Alligator mississippiensis: one gene and its partner. The protein of the gene in region 1 interacts with the protein of each later gene in a biochemical or structural test. Links are inferred from orthologs where the notes say so. Each region holds a gene or a part of one and is shown in the gene's direction. Other genes may lie near its edges.

Region 1 (3,747 bases):
GAGCATGAAGCTGGACAGAAAGGAAAGCCATTGACTAGTCAGGTGGCCTAATAATTGCAAAAAGCAAAGAAAAAAACCTATCAGATTGTTCAATGCCTCAGGTAATTTGGATACCTGGTTTACAGGTAGGGGAAATTGACCCATTATTGCACAAACAAGTATATTCCTCAGTTCATAACTGATAATTAACAAACTGAATATAATCATATATAATCAGAAAGTAGACTGATTATGTAGGTCACATAACATTGTCACTCACTACAAATAACAGGCAGCAAATCTTGAATTGTTTGAGTAACAAATGGCCTTTACACTGAAGAGACTTTATCTCAAATATTTAGCAAATACTTAATGTCATTTACAAAAACTAGAACTGGTTCAGGAAAGACTCAGAAAAAGAACAAAGGACTCAATTATTTACAGTAGTCTGACCAGCTGTCTGACTAAAGCAGCTTGCTCTTGCTAGTCCAGCAGTGTAAACAACAGTACCCGCAAACAGCCTGAAATATTTATTCAATAGCTTCCTGAGAATGATTTATGGGATGTGCAAAAATTATGACTGAGTGGTATGGTATAAAGGTCTGATTGGTATTTGACTGGGAAAAAAAATAACTCACTGTTAGCTTCACCACTTGAGACTTCTGTAGTCAACCCAAACTCATGTCAAGGTAATCTTTACACGACATCCTCCTATAGCATTGCTCTCATTTTCCAATCATCTATGACACTGAAGGGGAACATATTAAAAATAGTTGAAGTATTTTATGATAACAAAATGTATGGATTCCTTCTAGTCTAGGCATTCAACCAAGGAAACACAACCTTTCTGTGATTTGTGTAAACAGCTGGTGACAGCATTCAAATAAATACACACTTTTTCTCTCTCATTCTCTTTCTTTTATTCTAGGAAAATATTAGAAGTAGTCTATGTATTTTAATTGGAACAGAAGACACTGCTTTGAAATGAGGCCGCAGTAGAACCCAGGCGTTTACCGGGTCAGACCACAGGCCCACCTGGCCCAGTCTCCTGTGTCTCACAGTGACAGGGAGCAGATGCTGAACAGCAGAGTGCACTGGGTGTGATTCTTGCCAATGTAAAATCAGTGACAACTAAGATGTACACACGCGTCCCAGGATCTTCCAAGGTGAAGACGGAAGAAGAAGAAAGAGCTGTAAAGCCGCTCTCGCCTGAGTGCTGGGTTTCCGAGACCTTTGGTGTCACATCCCAGGCTGGCTGTAGCACGTTTCTGCCTGGTGCCAAGGTGCTGGAGGCCCAACCATGAGCTGGTGTCAGGGGCGGACCTGAAAAACCAGAGGAAAATGACTACAAGTGATAAAACCATAAGAACAGGAGAAGTGCCACTGGCGGGGTCAGGCGTAGGGGCAGGGAGTGTCGCACAGGAGCAGGGACGGGGTCAGCCCCCACTCCCGCGCAGCCTCCGGCACTTGAGGCGAGGGACTTGCGAGGCGGAGTTTCCAGAGCCCATAGGTCCCCTTGGCCCGGCCCCCAGTGCCGGCGCGGGTGCCCCGGGCGCGGCCATGCCCGCAGGCCTGGGCGGGGGCGGCCCCGGGCGCGGGGCAGCGCCGGCGGATCCGGGGCCCCCGGCCGCGCAGGACTCCCTGCCCCCGCGGGGCCGCCTCTTTCTTTCCCCCGGAATAAATAACATGGAGAAAATCCCCGCGCCGCTCTTGGCCGCGCTCCCCCGACCTGCCTGTGACGCAAGCGGAGCCTACTTAAGGGCGGATTAGCGGCAGCAAGACATTAAAGCCCAACCTGCCTCCCCGCCAAGGCGGGCTCCAAGCGCACCCCCGCAGCCCGCCTGCCCGCCCGCACCCCGCGCTCCCGCCCGGCCCGGCCCGGCCCGGCCCGGCCGGCCCGGCCCCGGCCCCGGCCCCGGCCCCGGCCCCGGCGCTGCGGGGCGGCGCACAGGGAGGCGAGGAGAGGCGAGGCGAGGCGAGGCGAGGCAGGGCGCTGCGGAACCCCCCCCGCCCGCCCACGGCATCGCTGGCCTCAGCCCCCGGGGGACCCCGGGCAGCAGGAGGGAGGAGAGCCCCGCCGCTTCCTTCCGCAGGCTCCTGGCTCCGGATGCACAGCGATGGGGGAATGGACCATCCTAGAGCGCCTGCTGGAAGCGGCCGTGCAGCAGCACTCCACGATGATCGGGAGGTAAGGGCAGGACGCCGGCCCGGCCCCGCTGCCTCGGGCCCAGGCGGCGGCTCTGGGGGCGCACCGCGGCGGGGCGGGAGGGGGTGCAGATTGCAGGGGAAATTGCGGCAAACTCCTCTCAAGTCCGCCCCCTCCGCAATGCCTCCCGGCCAAAAAGTTTCTGGTGGCGCCGGAGGCTGGCTCCGGGCACGCGGCGGGGGAGCGGGAGCCGGCCGGAGCCCGGGGCGAGCGGCGGCGCGATCAGCACTGGACAGCTCCCGGCGGCCCGGCCCGGCCCTGCCCTGCCCTGCCCCGGCCGCTCCCGCGGGCCCCGGGCACTGACGCGCGTCTGTGTTGCAGGATCCTGCTGACCGTGGTGGTGATCTTCAGGATCCTCATTGTGGCCATTGTGGGGGAAACGGTTTACGACGACGAGCAGACGATGTTCGTGTGTAACACGCTGCAGCCGGGCTGCAACCAGGCTTGTTACGACCAGGCGTTCCCTATTTCTCACATCAGGTACTGGGTGTTCCAGATCATCATGGTTTGCACCCCCAGCCTCTGCTTCATCACCTACTCTGTCCACCAGTCCGCCAAGCAGCGGGAGAGGAGGTACTCCACCGTCTTCCTCACCTTGGACAGGGACCAGGACTCCATGAAACGAGACGACAGCAAGAAGATCAAGAACACCATTGTCAACGGAGTGCTACAGAATACGGAGAACTCCACCAAAGAAGCTGAGCCTGACTGCCTGGAAGTGAAGGAAATCCCCAACCCGGCCATCAGAACCACCAAGTCCAAGATGAGGAGGCAAGAAGGCATCTCCCGGTTTTACATCATCCAGGTGGTCTTTCGCAATGCGCTCGAGATTGGATTCTTAGTGGGGCAGTACTTCCTGTATGGCTTCAACGTCCCTTCCATGTACGAATGCGACAGATACCCTTGCATCAAGGAAGTTGAGTGCTATGTCTCCAGACCTACTGAGAAGACTGTCTTCTTGGTATTCATGTTTGCGGTGAGTGGGATTTGTGTGGTGCTCAACCTGGCCGAACTGAACCACCTGGGCTGGAGAAAGATCAAAATGGCGGTGAGAGGAGTACAAGCCAAAAGGAAATCCATATATGAAATCCGAAACAAAGACCTGCCAAGAATGAGCATGCCTAACTTTGGCAGGACTCAGTCAAGCGACTCAGCTTATGTGTGAGCCTGTGACAGAACTGAAACACTGTGCCAGGTGGAACAGACCCAGACAACATTAGGGAAAGGTACATTGCTTAGGCAAGCATTTTATCAAACCACCAAGAAAGCCATTAAGGTATCAGATCTGCACTTATTGAACTAGATACAACAATGCAGTACGACATCAGAGACTGAAAAAACAGCTATAAAACTATGCTTGATCTAGCCTTACAGCACAGTTACTTTATTGCTAATGATCCAATGTTATCTTTTGACTGGAGTGGCTTGTTTTGGTTATCGTTAGGGTGAGATTACAGTCTGGACTGTCTGACTAATTGTTGTAAACAAGTGTAGAATGTTCATATTTAAAAAAAAAATTGCAAGGATGCTCTTTACTGGGGAGGGAGGGGATTGTTGCGATA
Region 2 (3,747 bases), on another chromosome or scaffold:
CCTGAAGCAGCAGCTCTCAACCTTTTTAGACGCAAAGAATCTCTCAGAAAATGCCAACGCTTATGTTCGCATTCTTTGACTACAAAAAATAACAGAGCCATTTTTCTACTGCAAAGACCATGATGACAGGGCAGAACATTTCCTTTCATTGTGGACAGCTGGATAAAAACATCAGCTTGGTGCCATCAAGAAGGCAGACAAAATGCGAGGGATTATTAAGAAGGGAATTGTAAACAAAACAGAAAGTGTCCTTATGCCGCTTTATAAATCCGTGGTGCATCTACACCTTGAATGCAGTGCCCAGTTCTGGTTTTCACACCTCAAAACGGAGGCAGAAGAACTAGAGATGGCCCAGAGAAGAGCAATAAGGATGGTTAGCGTATGGAGGGGCTCTCCCAAGGGGGGAGACTACAGAGCCTAGGCCTATTCAATTTAGAAAAGAGCTGGTTGCAGCAGGGGGCACGAGAAGGATTTACAGACCAGTAAATGGTGAACAGACAGTACCAGGGACAGATCATCGACTCTCCCGAGACAGGAACTAGACAGTCACAGAATGAAGCTAGCAGGTTGCGAGTTCAAAACCAATTAAACCAAGTTTCTTTTCACACAGCAAGTCATGCAAGTGGGAACCTGCTGCCCTCACACGCGGGGGAAGCCGACAGTTCAGCCACATTCACAAAGGGCCTGGACAAATTGTGGGAGGAAAGCAAAGGGCACCAGGACCAGGGAGCGCGGGGCCCGGCCCGGAGGCTGCAAGGGCGACAGGAGCAACCTCGGGCAGACGCGGCCCGCGAGCCTGTGCCGGCCAGGCCGCTCCGCACTCCCCTGAGGGAACCTCCACCTCCCCTCGTGCCCTCCACGCCCAGCCGCGCCCGCGCGCAGCAGGCCTCGCTGGTCTGCGGAAGACACAAACAGACAGGAGAAGGCCTCACTCGCCCGGCGGCACAGGCCGCGGAGCCGCCGGCCCCGAGCTGCGGCAGGCCCCCGCGTCCGCGGCGGGCCACACGGGGAAGGGGAAGGGGAAGAGGACGGGGCCCCGCGCCAGCAGGAGCAAGGCCCGCGCCCGCCCGCCCCCAACGCCGCCTCTCACCGCTCCAGCTCCGGGTCCTCGTCCATGGCGGCCCTTCCCCCCGCGGACGGTTGCAGCACCGCGAGGCCGGCCGGGGAAGGGGCGGGGTGCCGCCGGGCCACGCCCCCTTCCGCGGGCGGGGCGACGCTGCCACGTGCGCCGATGGGGGCGGGGCCCGGCTGTCCCCGCCCCCCGGTGCCGCCCCCGGCCCGTCGGCTCCTGCCCGGGGTTCGCTGGTGGCCGGGGCTCGGCGGCGGCGGCTCCTCCCCCCCACGCCCTGGGGCCGGGGCCGGGGCCGGGGCGGCCGCGCAGTGCGGGACAGCTGCCCCCGGGCCCGGGGCGGACGAGCCATCCGTGGCGGTGAGTAACTTCCCGGCTCGGCTTAGGGCGTCTTCTCCCGCCCGGCCCCCAGCAAGGGCATCGCCCTGGCCCGCGCGGGGAGGCCGGAGCTGCCGGAGGACCGCGGGCGCTGCAACAAGTGTGGGGCGGGCAGGAGCATGGGGCGGGCTCGGGCGCAGCCAAGTTTGCTCTGGAGACCGCGGTGCGGGCAGGGGCAGGCGGCTGCCGCCGGCGGGGGGAGGGCGAGTCCCCTCTAGGCACCTCCGCATGTGCTCCCCGAGCCGGAACCCTTCCCACGCTGGGCTCCGGTCAGGGGGAGAAGCCCTGAATAAACAGGACTGCCTCCCTGTTGTTTGCCAGTCTGACATTTAATATTGTGCCGGGAATAAAAAAAAAAAAAAAAAGTCCCCCCCCTTTATTTTGCATCCCTGACCATTGCTCCAGGCGCAGTCAGCATCATGGTTGCAGAGGTGTGAGGAGAAAAAAGGGTTCATCCTTTTTTTCCTAGCCTATTGCCATTCCTCCTTTCCAGCACAGAAATGAGGTTTCTTCATGGTGGTTCTGGTCCTGCACTTGCTCAGAGGGAGGGGAGTGGGTATTTGCTGGCTGCAGCTGCAGGCTGGAAGAGCTACAGCTATTCTTTTCCCAAACCTGAGCTGTCATTATATGCTGAAGGCTGCACTGAAACCTAAATTGCATATGCAACAAAACTGATATTTGTGTTTCGGCTTGTGTACGAGGGATTGACTGCGGATGTATTTATTCAGCCTGTTACTGAAATACGTGTATGCCGCTCGGATGTAATTTTATGAAAGAGTTCTAAGGGCTGAGGAGGAGTTGAATTACTGTGTGTGTGGGAGGAAGAAAGAACAGCTGCAAGCAAGCCCCTGTTATAGGAGTTGGGTTCAGGTTATGTGTTTCACAACCCTACCATAGCAAATCATAGCTAAATGTACACCTCGAAGCATCTATAATAGACAGTTATTTCAGAAGAGTAAATTTCACTCTCTCTTCTCTAACAAAGGCCCTATTTTTTATTCATTAGTTTCTATCTGTGAAAAATCTGTAATAAGGGATACTTCAGAGTCATTCTTGCTCTTGATGAAAAGTTAGTAATCAGCAGTGTAGCGAACTGGTAATTTTGGATGTGCCCATGGCAAATATGACAGTCCTCTGTGACTTTTTTTACTGTGTTGCTAATGTATATACCATTGGATTGTTTACTTCAGTAGAAATCCACTATTAAGCAGTTCTGAGCCTTGTTTAATTCCTTTTTTAATTACATTACAATGTGGGTTTATTTTTGTCTTTCTACAAAGTAAAAATGTCTGTTACGGATTAACCCCAGGATATGGTTGATGATAGTGTCTGAAAATAAATGTGTGTGTTTGGCCTTCTGTTAAAAAGGGAAATTATTCTGAGCTAGACTCTTCATCTCATTAAATAAGTTGATTGATTGATGCTTATGCCTCTTCCCACTTCTTTTTGGCTTGCTGATGTTTTACCCTAAGCATGTAATCTGACAGCAGATAAGGAGGCTTAGGAAGAAACATCAGATGGTTTGAGTTAGCATCCCTACCCACTTTCAAAATAAAGATGCTGGTGCCATATGTTGCTGTGCTTTGTTAAAACAAATTTCCTCAAAATGGAGCCAAGGTGTATACATCTCCTTTCAGGAACATTAGTGTGGCTTAATAAAGCACTACTACCATAACTTTTCTGAGGAGTAGTAGTGGGAGTCCTGTCTCCCTCTACTTGGTGCTGTATTAGCTGATGAAGTATTTCAGGAAAAGAAGGATTGGAATAGGCTTACAAGCAATTATGGAGGAAGTCAGCTGGTTAGCACAGAACTGTTAGATAAGAAAACATTGCATGGTGAACTGGAATGATTTATAAAAATAACCTATTTGCCTTTTTAAAATTACTACAGCCCACTGATATAATTAGTAATTACAAATAAATTATTTAAAATCAATGCATCTAGTAATACCTTCCTAACTTGCTGAACAGTTCATCCTTTTTTAGGCTTTAGTTGCATCAACTCAAGCAGGCCAAACCTTGACCCTTGAATTCAGCCCCAGCTAGAGAAGTCAATAGAATACTTTCACATGTCCTGTCAATAATTTACAAGCCTAATGTCCATTTAAAATGAATCAATGTGTTTTTCAGTGAAACGGTAACAATTTTGCAAGAGGATTAGGCACCACATACTGGTGTTTGTTGCGGAAAGATGCATTATGTTATTTAAATATGAACATCTTAATTTTCATTTTTCAAAAACACGGACTCTGATACTGCTGACTGTTCTCACAGGTGCAGGGGTCTGCTCAGAGAAGTCC

Evidence for each region.
Region 2: the proteins of GJD2 (region 1) and LNX2 form a complex in vitro, tested with the Homo sapiens proteins (2 studies listed by BioGRID and IntAct, with this or other methods). The link is inferred for Alligator mississippiensis from reciprocal best matches to the Homo sapiens genes GJD2 and LNX2.

Annotation. Positions count from the first base shown.
Region 1 is NC_081825.1:248,065,780-248,069,526, forward strand, and holds the start of GJD2 (gap junction delta-2 protein), read left to right. Parts: upstream 1-1,561; 5' UTR 1,562-2,096; coding exon 2,097-2,167; intron 2,168-2,506; coding exon 2,507-3,350; 3' UTR 3,351-3,747. UniProt on the Homo sapiens protein: One gap junction consists of a cluster of closely packed pairs of transmembrane channels, the connexons, through which materials of low MW diffuse from one cell to a neighboring cell.
Region 2 is NC_081824.1:428,179,475-428,183,221, forward strand, and holds the start of LNX2 (ligand of Numb protein X 2), read left to right. Parts: upstream 1-1,324; 5' UTR 1,325-1,429; intron 1,430-3,747. Other genes in the region: protein POLR1D, read right to left, coding at 1,091-1,116.